Linked DNA regions of Schizosaccharomyces pombe. The protein of the gene in region 1 interacts with the protein of each later gene in a pairwise test. Each region holds a gene or a part of one and is shown on either strand. Other genes may lie near its edges.

Region 1 (8,976 bases):
TATGTGTGAGTAACTGAAATGATCACGAAACAAGCGGAAAGCTGAAAGATAGGGATACTCATTTCAGATCTTTTTGATTCTTCATTTTTTGGAAGTCACCAAGCTCTTTTGGTCAATATTCCTTCGTTCAACTTCGTATTCTTATAAATGGACTAGCGATGAGGCAAAAATCTAGCAATGTTAATTGCTAGAAATGCAATTAAGTTAAAGCAAACTTAAGCTAAGAATTCAGGACTAAGGTCACTCAAAAAGGTTCTTCATAAGATCCTCTATACTTAGTCAAAAAAACAAACTATATGCAACAGGATTGTCACAGCTATTTTTTCAAAAATGAATGATAGATAAATGTCAAAAAAGCTCAATCATCCTATTTACAAAAGTTTTATACATGTCTTTCAGGAACGTATCCGAGCACTAATGCACCACTCCGACATTGAGTATCTTTCGGTTTGCGCTAATCTGATCTAATAATTTAAATGACTTCTAATAGCATAGAATCGTCTTAAAATTAAACTCATTAGCGAGAGATCGCATTTGAGTTTGTAAATAAAAACAGGTTGAGTAAAGGGGGTATCCGTCAAAAGAGGATAAATTTCGTTCTTCTTCTACTTTGAATATTATTTTAGTTTCTTTTTTAAAAGCCATGAATTCAAGTGACTGAAGCATCTATCCTCGATCAAATTTAACATACACAGCTAGTTCACACAATCTTTCCTCACCACCATACCTGCTATATTTTTTCTTTCAACAACCAACTCCATGTCGCGTTTTTCAATAGAAGGGAAGTCTTTGAAATTAGATGCAATTACAACTGAAGACGAGAAGTCTGTATTTGCTGTTCTGTTAGAAGATGATTCTGTAAAGGAAATTGTATTGTCTGGTAACACAATTGGAACCGAAGCTGCTAGATGGTTGTCAGAGAATATTGCCTCAAAAAAAGATTTAGAAATTGCAGAGTTTAGTGATATCTTTACTGGACGTGTCAAAGATGAAATTCCTGAGGCTTTACGTCTGTTGCTACAAGCTTTACTCAAGTGCCCAAAACTACATACTGTAAGATTGAGCGATAATGCCTTTGGCCCTACTGCACAGGAGCCCTTGATTGACTTTCTTTCAAAACACACACCTTTGGAGCATCTTTACCTACACAATAATGGACTCGGTCCTCAAGCTGGCGCAAAAATTGCTCGTGCCTTGCAAGAGCTGGCGGTCAACAAGAAAGCTAAAAATGCACCTCCCTTGCGTTCCATTATTTGTGGAAGAAATCGTTTAGAAAATGGGAGTATGAAAGAATGGGCTAAAACTTTCCAGAGCCACCGTTTGCTACATACAGTGAAAATGGTGCAAAATGGTATCCGTCCCGAAGGTATTGAACACTTATTGCTTGAAGGATTAGCATATTGCCAAGAGCTAAAGGTACTCGATCTTCAAGATAACACATTTACGCACTTGGGCTCTAGCGCTCTCGCTATCGCGTTGAAAAGCTGGCCCAACCTTCGAGAACTAGGCCTCAACGATTGTCTCTTATCTGCTCGCGGTGCTGCCGCAGTTGTAGATGCTTTTTCTAAATTAGAAAATATTGGGCTTCAAACGTTACGCTTACAGTATAACGAGATAGAGCTGGATGCTGTCCGGACCCTAAAAACTGTGATTGATGAGAAAATGCCGGATCTTTTATTCCTTGAATTAAATGGAAACAGATTTTCGGAAGAAGACGATGTTGTTGATGAAATACGTGAAGTCTTTAGCACCCGTGGTCGTGGTGAACTAGATGAGCTTGATGATATGGAGGAACTTACCGACGAGGAGGAGGAGGATGAAGAAGAAGAAGCTGAGTCTCAAAGCCCTGAGCCGGAGACTTCTGAAGAAGAAAAAGAAGACAAAGAACTTGCTGATGAGCTATCAAAAGCTCATATTTAGAGCAACTACTTTCCCTCTCGAACCCTGCTCCGCTGTTTCCGAAATTTTTTAACATATTTCTATTGTTCATGCTAGGCGGTAATGAACGATTGTGGTCAACGGATGGTCTATATCGACCATTCGATTTCCTTCTGCATTTTTATCAACATTCTGTCTTTTTACGCGGCAGGACCGATAAATAGTATTAGATTAAATCTGTATATGACAGAAAAAAAATTCCCCTTTCAAAAATGGCGAAAAGGTTCTTTACGTTTTATTAATAACCCACTTTAATTAAGTATTGGGTCAATATAATATGGTTTGGATTGTATCTGTGTAAAGTTGTTTTGTTGTTATGTCGTAAAGCCTGAACTATTTTTTCAGTATGTCTGTAAACCTCGAGATAAATTTTCTGTAAGTCGCAGTTAACTTTTAAGAATGTGGGGATTCCATTACTTGAGCTTGGTGTTTCCAAATATGATTGTACTACTGCAAGGACGAATTAGAAGCTTCACCTAGCATAGTACATACTCTACGTCCAACGCCATCTATTAATGTCAAATCCACCAACTCGGCCAACTTTGTATAATTTGGTGAATGCTGATGGTGAATTGTCTTACAGAGCTCGTGATTTAGTACAGGATTTTTCTGTTCCAATTCCACATGAACTGCCGGATCCTGTAAGTTCACAGCTTCTGCCAATACTTGTTTAACTAATCTTTTTATGTTTAGGATTTAGTTCATAGCATCCAGGATTTTGCAACAGAATACATGCTTGCGACAGGGAAAAAGTCATTCGAGTGTTTGGATGAAAGTGCTTTATTGGGGTTGGGATATTTGGTGACTGAATGGATGGATGCTATGGTTACTGATTGTTTGGAAGAATTTGAAGAAAGATGAATTATCCTTGTACATTTTACTTTTCATTCGTTTGTTTCGAGATGACTCCGTTACATTTGTATGACTAACTTTGATGATTTTTCTATATGGCGTAAAGTTGTTAAACAGCTATGAATGCGTATTTGTGTATTGAAATTTTTATCTTTTGATAATTGTTTAAAATCAACATTACAGATGTAATTACATTGCTTGACATGTATGCAGGCTGCTGAAAAGCGAGAAGCAACGATGCTGTTAAGATTTTAACAAGCTTTGCGATACATTAGCAAACATATTAGGACTTCAACTATTTTTTTTTTGCAAAGCCTTTACTATTAAATCCGAATACTGTTACCAGTGAATCGTAAAGACAATCACTTCAACTACCCAAAGCATAATCCAATATACATTTTATTACTTGGTATTTATACACGCTATCTAATGATTACACTTCAAAGGGGTCGAATTAAATACGTAGTCCATGCGTATTTATTAAAATGCAAAATTAAGAAATGCCAATTAGGTTGTTTCATATCGATGAATGAAACGAATGACAAGTGACATCTAAGAAGAGATCATACTTTAAAAAGTAGTCCATATTATTTTAAACAGAAGTGAAAAAACGAGTGTTAACTTTTCAAGCAATTTCTTGCTGAGACAATGGTGGGGGTGCTTTAGCTTTCCAAAATGCGGAAATCCATGTCCATATGACAGCAACGAAAATAAAGGCAAACAACAAAAAGAAAGTAATAAATGCAACAATTTCTCTATAAGAGGGTTCCAATACAGGTTGGGTAGGGGGTAGGACTGTAGGAATCGGTATATGAGACGTTGATGTAGGTGTAGCTGTGGCAGATACGGTGTAAGAAGTAAATGAAGTAGACGTAGGGCTCAACAAGGTACTTGAGTTAGTCAGATCGCTATTTGGTTCAGAGTATATTCCCAAGACCATCTCCTTTGGAAGCTCAAGAGTGTCATAAGGGAGTGGTGCAGTATTAGAAGGGTTTTCAGATTCTCCCCACAAAGCCAACTGCCAATTTTCAAACGTACCTTCATGCTTTCCACCACTTCGATCATTAACCAGTAACTTCCAAACCCCCTCTGGAGGTTCGGCCCAATGCTGCACAGTCATGAACGTCCAGTCTAAAAACCCCTTACTATTCTCATCATACGGTCGTTCACTGGCAAGGATTGAACGAATGCCGGAAGGGCTTTCCAAGAGAATCTCCAATGCTCCTCTTCGGTTAAAAGGTATACACACCCTAACAGTGACATGTTCTAATCTTTTGAAGTTGCTTTTCTCAATCATATCCTTAGTAACGGTAAATTCGCTTACCATTTCAGTTATTGTCTCATTGTTAACACTCCCGAATGATTTATTAACATTAATTTCTGGAGCAATGAGCCAGGTTTGTGGATTCACGACCTGCCAATCCTTAGCCACCTCGACGAACTTCGATGCATCCAATTTACCAAACCCAAAATGATGGGAGAACTGGAATCCTGCTGGAGTCTTTTGCCATTCTGCATTTTGAGAAGGGCTATCAAAAGGAGATGCTGAATACACTGTAATATGCTGAATGTCTCTCCAACTAAGGTCAGGACGAATCGAAAGCGCCAAAGCATATACAGCAGATGCTAACGGAGCAGCCGCTGAGGTACCACCATGACTTCTAGTACATGTGCCTTCAGGATTTGTAGTTAATATAGACAAATGTGAGCCACTACTATATGCTGAAACTAATTGCGCAGCACACACCTCACTGTAAAATGGGATTTTATGTTCAGCATCAACAGCACCAATGGTAGCACTGAATATGCTATTCGTGTAGCCATCAAAATTGCAATTATCATGATAATGGCCTCCATTTCCAGAAGCGAACACAAAAATCGACCCAAGACCATTTCGGCCATTAAGGACACCGTTCATCAACGCACGACGAGTAGCCGTATTAGGAGCATCCATTGCTCTTCCATCATCTGCAGGGCCCCAGGAACATGAATATATATGATTTGTTTGAAAGCCATAATTCAGTGCTTCCGATTCAACAGCATCAGTAATAGGGGCCGAAAGAATACGAAGTCCAGCGACCTTGGCGCGTGGAGCTATGCCTACGCCACAAACGTCGTTCCAAGCTGCAGCCACTTCTCCAGCACAACGGGTGCCGTGCTGATCATCTGATAACTTTGGCAAAGGGTCAGCAATGTTATCATTGAAGTCCCAAGAACCAAGCGAAGTGTAAGCAGCTTGCAAATCTGGATGTTTAAAATCAATTCCATCGTCTACAAATGCAACGGTAACATTCTCACCGAAGTAACCGGCGTCCCAGACTTCACGTAGATTCAGATCGTGTCCAGGATTATTCGAGTTGAATATGTGCCATTGGCCATAAAAGAGAGGATCCGAAATTCCAAAATGATTAGAGAACTCATTCAGTAATTCATCAGATTCACTCGCATCCCGCTTGTAGCGCCATCTGGGCGTCTGGCGCTCCAATTCCAAGATTCCGGCATCAATGCCTCGTTTTCGAATTGAACTTTGGACTGAATCATCGCTCCCCTTATGTAGCTTAATTAAATGGTGATACTTCAAATTTAATAAAGGGCGCACATACTTAGCACCAATGGCTTCTGCTGCTACTACAGGATCAACTTCAGGTTCCACTTGAACTAGAAATAAATCATCGTTTTCTAATGGAGAGCAAGAAGAAACCAAAAACTGTAAAAATATTGCAAGAATTGGCCCACATAGCAAAGCAGGATGCATGGTGCTGGGACGGTGTATGCACTAGGTGGCTTAACAGATTATGGTGTCCACTGTACCATAGTGGTGGCTATGTACAATAAAACAGCCATTCGACTAAAACACATATAAAGTGTAAAGCTGTCAGTATTTAAACTTTTCCAATTAAGAAATACATGGCAAAAGTGAGCAATTGCTAAACCGTGTGTCTACTATAATACCATGTTATATATTACATTTCATCAATACAGAAAAATAGAGCATCTACTTGTTAATCATGAAATAACTTTAAGCATTTAATAGTAAAAAAAATATAAACGACGATGAAAACATTAAAAGTATGAAATTTAGAAACCATCTTCATCCTGGTCTTAGTAATATTACAAGTTTTCATGATTAAGTGTAAGATTTGAAAACAAAGGGTTAATTTATAATTAAAACAACTGTAGTCTGGATAAAGAAGGAATATAGTTAAAATGTAAAACCATGTGCCAGGTTGACTATTTAATTAGTTATGTGCATTTATTAGCTAGGCATGAACTTGATCCAAAAAAAAAAAATGAAAGTTGAGAATACGGATGAGATAGTATACTTTCGGAAGAAAATACTTTTATGGAATACTAGTACGAGACACTTGTCAAATTGTAAGCATGTTGACAAAATCAAGCTTTTGGTCTCTCCAATCGTATGTTTCTAGTCTGAGCAGGAATTCGTACACGGATGCCATCCAAATCTTTTCTTAAGAGTACTTGGCATCCCAATCTGCTTGTTTCCTCAAGACCAAATGCTAAATCAAGCATGTCTTCTTCATCTTCTTCCGGGGGATCCAAAAGTTCGTAATGCTCTGGATCTACGATAACATGGCAAGTCGAACATGCAACAGACCCTTCACAAGCGCCTTCTAAATCGATATTGTTAGCATGAGCGAGATCTAAAATACTATCACCTTCATTTCCCTCAATCATGATTTCACGTCCTTCAGGCGTGACGAAAAAAACTTTGATTCCAGTGCCCGGCAAAGGCTTTTTAATTTCGGAATGGAATGATGGGCGGAATGTATGGAATTGGCGTTGTTGAGTCAAAATGGAAGATGAAATGCTACTTTTGGGAGGAGAAGAGATTAATTTTGTCCATGAGCGGATGTTTTTTAAAGCGTATTCTGGATGCAAGCGCTGAGCAAGTGATAAGGCCGCGGTTAATGTAACAAGACTACCGGCTTGATGAAGGGCTGCCAAAGGTACAGGGACAACATAGATTAGAGTCATAATACCCAAAGTAGCTTGAGCAGTTACAACGCCTGTAACAACGTTAATGCTAGTTTTAATCTTCTTAGGCAAAATGTTTCTTTTAGCACGGGAAAAAATAAAAAGACCACATGCAGCAACAAAAGTAGTAATAGCTAAGATACGGTGTTCGAGTTGAACAAGACTTGGGTTGTCAATCATGTTTCTCCATATAAGATCGGACTTGTCGTCTTTCCTACAAAACCTTTGATCAAATAACTCGCTTTTAGATGGAGCAAGTCTTCCTTCGCCCATTTCCGGGAAAGTACAATAAATCATTCCGGCATCCAATCCAGCAACAAAGGCACCGGACAAAAGGGTGATCAGTACCAAGCCAACAAATGAGTTAACACTAGTACGAAATCCTTTCATTTTCTGAACTGAAGAAACCATTGAAGTCAATTGAGATGTGGAGCCACTCTTCATAGATTTCAAAAAGGCATGTCGTTGAAGGATTCCATGCCCAGTCCACACCAAGCCAATATAGAGAGCAACGGCAGCGGCTAAATGAGTAGCCAAGCGATAATGACTAACACGCGGATGAGAACCATCACTGAAGAGCTCTTCTGAAAGACCACTCTTGACCATCCACCAACCGATGACTCCTTGAAGTCCAACGAGTCCCGTAAGGCCGATTAGTCGCTTGCTTAGCCAAGGAGATGCCCTTTTAGTCACAATCATGTATATGGAAGGAAGAAGGATTGTCAAGCCGATTCCTCTACCGAGGACACGATGAAACCACTCCCAGAAAAATATGTTTTTAAACTCATCCACTGTCATATGGCTGTTCAGCTTCTCAAACTCTGGTGATTTTTTGTAAAGCTCAAATTCTTGGTTCCATTGTTCATCAGTAAGAGGAGGAATTACGCCAGTGATGGGCTTCCATTCAGTAATACTTAACCCGGATTCAGTTAGTCTAGTAATGCCACCTACAACAACAATTGCAAGAACAAGAGCAGAAGATCCAAGCAGCCAAAAGGCGACCTTTTTACTCGGAATTTTTTCGGTTTCCTGTAGGATGCCACCTGGTGTAGGAGCGACTGAGTTACTCAGCCGGCGAGCAAAAAACTTTTCAAATGAATTTTTATTAAACTTACAATCATTCAAAAATAAATTCTTAGTCCGTGACAAATTAATTTCATTTAAAACACTCGATCCAGAGAAGCTCCTGCTCATTCTCCAACTTGACCTTCCAAGGCAAGAAATGTCGCAGCCTTTCCGTAAGGGCTGAAGCAGGAACTGTCTCATCAGACCTGATGAACGTGAAATGTTCATTGGTAATTGTTTACTTTTGTTTGCGTTTCGCTTAAAAAAGTAGGTTCATGGAGAGAGAGGAATGGTACCTAACCTCCCGGTTCTATACCACAATAATCTAACGGCGCACTTTCAGAGTCGCTATAAGTAGACAAGCTATATTAACGTAGGCCGTTTGATATATACAAGATCTGAGTGGATCGTCGATGAATAGTTTAATTTGATGCGACAATTCGCTGAAATCTGCACGTAGCATATTTGAATCGATGTTTATATTTATGATACTTAATACTCAAAATGTACTAGCTTCATTTGCGTATCCAAAAAGTTATTTAATCTAGTACATGTCGCATACGGAAATAGCTGACATCTTAAATAGTTAGTTCTTATAATCTTACGAACCGAAACTTCTATATGACAAACATAAATCATTTAACTGCTATAAATTAATATTATTATATTGTACAATGTTCTAAACGTGCAAATTAGGAACAGAAAAATGCAACGACTGAGGGTTCGTTGCTCTGAATCAAAAGAAACTAAAAAAAAAAAAAGGAACTAGAGTTTTCGCCCAAACACTTAGTCATTAAATATTTACAAACGAAGAAGAAAAGAATGCAGAAGCAGGTGACAGTAAAATATGCTCCGAGTACCAATCATCATAATAAAAAAATGAAATGAAAATACATATGAAGGTAAAAAGATGCAGTCATCGTACCAACTTTAGAATCGTGAAAACTTGTTCGTATACCATATCCAATAAAAAAAATCATCCACACATTTATATGGTTTCAAGATTTACAACATCTTCTAGAATTTTTATCGCGTAAATGAAGGGTTAGAAACTGTAGCAGCAGGAACGGTGTGAGGCCTAGCTGTATCGCCATGTGCTTGATTATCCTTCGACTGTTGATGCAG
Region 2 (5,625 bases), on another chromosome or scaffold:
ATTGTTGTAGTATATTTCTTCGCGTTAGAGAATGTATCGCTTCCTTGTATCTCCTTATTTGAGGCGGCGGTCCACCTACCGCTATTTCTAAGTATCCTTTTACGAACTACGCATCCAACTGCACCACAATGTCCAATTCGATCGTCGTAAGTTAGTATTGTTTTAAGTGTTATTCTAATGTTTTTATCAAGGGTGAGGTCTATCACCACGTGATATTAGACGTGATTGCTAATTCACGGAGCGATTTTGAAGAAAATGGTGTTGATGATGCAACTTTACGAGAATTACAAAATGTACGGTTTTATGAAGTTTAGGTCTTTTTCTAATAAAACAGTTATGGCAAAGCAAGTTAGTTGCTACCGATGTTGCAACTTTTCCTTGGGCACAAGCTCCTGTTGGCACATTTCCCATTGGTCAATTGTTTGATCCAGTTAGCGGCTTGAGGACAGATTCATTAGATGTTACTGCTCCAGCTGTTGCAAACTCTCCCATACTTAATAATATAGCCGCTATTCGTGCTGTTCAGCAGATGGATACATTTGCGCAGCAACATGGTAATTCAAATTATTATTCTCCACCTACTCCCTCTCTCCCCCAGTCAGCAACAAATATTTCGTTTGACAGCTCTGCAATACCTAACGTACAGTCCAACCCTAATAATACTGCCCCCTTCCCTTCTTACAGCTCTAACTCATTGCAACTGCCCACTAATCAAACTGCTGACTCACCGATTATCAACGACCATTCGACTGCAAATGTAACTTCTACGGGCCAAGAACATGCTCCCGACTCTTCATCTACTAACTCATTTGGCGGATTGTTACTTCCCAATCAAAACTCTCCGAAAAAGTCTGAATTAGGAGAGACAGAGTCTTCTAATACCACCCCTGCTAATTCTCGTAATGACGTGCCTCAAACCGATGGTGCTATTCATGATCTAGATGATGCTGGGAGCCCTTCTAATTTTGAAAGTAATAGATTTGCTATTGCACAGAAAGCTGATGCTGAAATTTATGAAGTTTTGAAAAAGAATCGCATTTTGCAAATTGACGGCACTATAGAAGATAACGAAGATGAAAAAAAGCCACCTGTTGATACGCCTTCTGACGAAGCAATTAACTCAGATTTAGACGATCCTGATTCAGATGAGGCTCCCGAAACTGAAGAAGGTTCTGATATTGGACAGGCTATCGTTCTTTGTCTTTATGACAAAGTGAACCACCACAAAAATAAATGGAAATGTGTGTTCAGAGATGGCGTAGTTGGCGTTAATGGAAAAGATTACTTATTTTTCAAGGCGAATGGTGAGTTTGAATGGATTTAAAATTTTACTTTAGGTGTTTTGCTTCAAAAAGTGATGGACGTATTTTATCTATCAATCATTCTTCTTTTTGGCCTTTTTGTTTTCTTCATGAATCATGTTTATAAGTGCATTTAAGTAATCTTCCTATCATATTTTAGTGAGCACATCAATCTATTCTACGGTTAAAAGTATTATTATTATTTCATGCAAATTTTATTCACTAAAGCAAGCAATTAAATTAGATCACAATGATAGAATTACAGTATATACACTTTCAAATTTTAAACGCTTCATACAGATGTACTGTAATTAGATGTAGTGTGGTCCGATAAATCATTAAAAATAGAAGTTGGCGAACCAAGGTGTTGCGTAAGCTTATCCTGAAATAAAGGTTGAAGCTTTTCTAACCACATTGAGCGCTTGTCCATCAATGATTTGATGACAGGAAAAGAGCCGCTCGTAGCTGAAGAGCCAATTTTATCAGTAACAATACGTTTCTTTTTAACCTTCAAACTTCTGTTACGTTTGACATACGCTTGTTCGATTTGTTTATCTAGATCATCCATCACATTTTGGAATTCTTGAAATGCCATTTCCTCAGGAAGCATCTGTAACAGCGCATTCCTCATTTTTTCGTTTTCATCAGAAACTACCTTCAAACGAGCATTCAAACTCCTTAAGGTAGCTGAAATTTCATCATCCTGTCGCTTTGACCAATCTACATCGCCATCATAAAGTATACCTAGTTGTTTTAGGGTGTAACGAAGGCGGTCCTCACAAATTGAAAGACTCGACTCTTGTATATCCGGTTGTTCTGTATATTCATTATTTCCTGACTCGATTCCATCAATGCTTGTACCAATTTTGCTTTTCTCGGATCCAGAATCGGTTTCCGCAAATTCGCCAACAGCAATAGAAGGTTTTTGCTCCTCATCATTCTGCGTGTAGCAAGGAATTAATGAAGCCATTAGTCGTTCAGTGAGTGGACCACACCTAACTTCCTCAGAGACGGTATCTGCCTCATTAAAAGCTTCAAGGGATCCTTGAGCAGAGGTTTGCAGGTTTTGGTAAATTGAGTTAGCACACAGGTTGGTCATTTCATCTTCCGGAGTTAAATCGTAATAGCGTTCCCCCAAAGGAGGAATATTATAGGAAGACGAAACGTCAAATCCTTTTTTTAAAAAAGCAATATCATCATCATTGAAAGCACGAAAATATGGGTCAAGTGACGAATAAAAGGTTGATATTGAAATCTGGTTATTTGGCTTGTTGTGAGAAAAATCATCAGTCGCCGGAGTTCCTGCCACCAACGATCGTACATCACTGGTTGGAAAGGAATCTACACATAAAAGCTTCTTTTTTTGTTCATAAGAGAAGGAATCGTCAACAATGAAAGATAGTAATGAACCGGTTAGAAGATCGTTTGCGTTTTTATATACCAACCCAGTTGTCTGTTCATCTTTACCCTTAACCGGTAAATCTAATTCATTCTCAATTGTTTCCACATTTTCGGGACTGATTTCTTCATTATGGGCCTCTGAAACTTTGGGCTTCTTGGAAACTTTTTCTAGCATAGACTCTTGTGGACTTTCGGAAAGAGAACGCTTTTGCTTTATTTCTTGTTCAACGTTGTCTTCTTTAAATTCTTCTACTTTTTCTTCCACTTTATTAACCGACGATTCGTCTTTTGAGGTTTCTATTTCAGAATCGACATGAGACTCTAACTCTTCTTTGCGCTGGCGAAAATATTCTACACAAGACGGTTCACACTCAATCATTTTTTGCAGCTCAAACAGAAGCCGCCATAATGTCGACACAGACGGTACAACACCAGGAGTTGACGTTTCACTCAGACGGGAAAAGGTCTCGTATTGATTTTCAATTTTAAAACATTGAGGAATCACCGCGGGTTTCGAATCAGCTTCATTTTGTTGTTCGGAGGACATCCCAAAAAAATTTAAATCGTGAACAATACAACATTTACATATGTCTCTCTCCCCCGAAAAAATTCATTACTGAGGTGGTGATTTTTTATACCGGATTTCGATGATGGCGTACTTTTAGCGAAGTCTAGTATACCACTTGTTACATTGTTATAACGGTGCTCAGAAATATTAATCAAGAACAGCGTTGAATTGCTACGAATATGATATCTCAAACCAAATTAAACAGCAATATATTTTATTCATAGTGAATCCATCGCAAAAGCAATATGCTTTGCGAAGTATTTTGAACACTATAAGTGATCTTTGGTTTGTTTAAAATTAAATTTATCTTAAATTTAATAGTTTCTAAACCAATTGGTCTAGCGCAAGAACTAGATAAACAGAGTTGCAGCTTCACAAGATATCATGAAATAGATCTACGAGTCAATGGAATAGGATTTGTTTATACTTAATTAAGAGGTAAATATTTACAAGAAAATGTTTTATCATTTTTTTTTTTTAAATTTTGGATGTTTTTATTGCTATTCTTTCCATTTATGGGACATTATTTGACTGTAAGTCTCAGCAAATTTAGTGGATTGAGATTAGAAAAAGAAAAAAAAAAAAAAAAAAAAAAAAAATTTTTCTCGGTTGTAGATTTTCTCATATTTTCCTATTATATATTTAATTTACTACAATTGTCTTTTGTAATTTTCATTATATCACTCAACAGAATCACATGAAGAAATATCTCACTGAACCATCGTAATTTCAACAATAACAATTGTCACATATATTAAATAACTATAAACTGTAATAATAATAAAATGTGAAGAAAGCTCAACCGAACTGGTGGGTTTAACTGAAGCAATTTCATCTGCTTCGCATTTCCAGCATTAACCAACCACCCACCGTCATAACCGCTAAGATTTAAATTCCCGCCATCACCCCGGTAGGTCAGCCACCATTTCCTGTATTTGCCATCGTATTGAAGCTTTAGTTGTATTAGAAACTTTGAATATTTTTTAAGTAGTACGATGGCTCAAAACTCAACCCAACTGGAAAAGGTATGTGATATTTTAAAGAGTTTTGGTGTTTTGAACCAACATAATGTTTTATGATTCAAAAAATTGATTTAAATCAAGTATTTACTAAAAATAATCTTTTTTAATTGGTTGAAAAGTTTGATGATTAAATGCAAAATTTTCTTTAGTTATCCGCTTGGTTTTTGGTTTTTATCTAACAAATTGCCGTCTTAGATTTCTGGTTCTTTCACAAGGTTGGCGGAAGCTTTTCAGTTAGCTTTAACCGCATGCCGTGAGATCGAAGAATCACTTCCTTCGATATTAGGAGAGAAGTCCGAGGTTTCGAAACCTTTTAAGCCAGCCGTCACTGATCCATCAAATGCGAAGAAAGAGATTAATATGGCAATTGAGTCTCCTTCTAAAAAAGCAACTTCACCTAAGAAAGCTACTCCTGCAGCAGTAGCTCCTGTTGAGGCAACCTCCGCAGTCGATACGTCGGAAGCTGTAGCCTCCATGACCCCAAACAAGCGCAAGGCTAGGGATCCTGCACAACCAAAGCGCCCTCCATCAGCCTATAATCTCTTTCAGAAGAACCAACGATCGGAAATCAAGGAGTCTTTGGGCGAGAAGAGTAACGATGTTAAAGAGGTGAATAAAGCGATGCATGAAAAGTGGGGCTCGCTATCTGAAGATGATCGGAAAACTTACGAAGAAGAAGCTTCTAAACTTCGAGAAGCCTACGAAGAAGAAATGGCTGCTTATAATGCTTCTAAAGAAAATGCGTCAGTTGCTGATAGTCGAGTTACGGCTGAGGAAACTTCTACTAAACCTTCAGAAGACTTATCCTCTCCCACTAAAAAAGATTTGATAGACTTTTCAGAAACCAGACCATTGGCTCAAGCTTCTAGAGCCACTCCTGACATTAAAGAACAGCATGCTAAGAAACCGAAGCGAAAGCACACCCGTTCAACAGTACCTACAAGCAATGTTGAACCAGTTTCTCAACCTCAACCCTCTCCTGACAAAATCGTTTCTAGCCCCAATCCGCCATCAGCGAAAAGGGAAAAAAAGAAACGTCGCAAAAGCTCGATGTCTTCTTCCATTACCACTCCCCCTACCGCCAAAGTTGCTAATTGAGTTTGCTTGATAATTTCATTAATTGTGTATTTCCTTGTTCCGAACATTAAAGTTATAGGAAATGATTAATTAGCAACAAGTGTTTGCTTGTATTGCTGATTTGAGTGCTCTCTATTATTACTCAGGTTGCTAATGTCTGTAAATATTGCTTGTTAAAAATACTGGTTGTTATATAATACATAATAATCGTTTTTGGTCACAGCAGTTGTATATAAACGTTTAACGGCAGGCACAT

The links. Proteins that work in one complex are often made in the same cells at the same time.
Region 2: the proteins of krp1 (region 1) and ngg1 interact in a two-hybrid assay, tested with the Schizosaccharomyces pombe proteins (one study listed by BioGRID).

The regions. Positions count from the first base shown.
Region 1 is NC_003424.3:5,031,025-5,040,000, forward strand, and holds krp1 (kexin), read right to left. Parts: upstream 5,557-8,976; 5' UTR 5,546-5,556; coding exon 3,416-5,545; 3' UTR 3,163-3,415; downstream 1-3,162. Other genes in the region: RanGAP Rna1, read left to right, coding at 760-1,920; RNA polymerase I upstream activation factor complex subunit Rrn10, read left to right, coding at 2,454-2,579, 2,632-2,799; etp1 (monooxygenase-ferredoxin fusion protein), read right to left, coding at 6,184-6,422, 6,468-8,079; putative histone H3 lysine methyltransferase Set3, read right to left, coding at 8,878-8,976. UniProt on the Schizosaccharomyces pombe protein: Membrane-bound, subtilisin-like serine protease that processes the P-factor precursor and other precursor proteins. Essential for cell viability. Cleaves substrate on the C-terminal side of dibasic residues.
Region 2 is NC_003423.3:1,585,094-1,590,718, forward strand, and holds ngg1 (SAGA complex subunit Ngg1/Ada3), read right to left. Parts: upstream 3,306-5,625; 5' UTR 3,250-3,305; coding exon 1,594-3,249; 3' UTR 1,499-1,593; downstream 1-1,498. Other genes in the region: transcription factor TFIIA complex large subunit Toa1, read left to right, coding at 129-146, 192-293, 335-1,324; upstream binding transcription factor, RNA polymerase I specific, Hmo1, read left to right, coding at 4,266-4,295, 4,488-5,390. UniProt on the Schizosaccharomyces pombe protein: Component of the transcription coactivator SAGA complex. SAGA acts as a general cofactor required for essentially all RNA polymerase II transcription. At the promoters, SAGA is required for transcription pre-initiation complex (PIC) recruitment.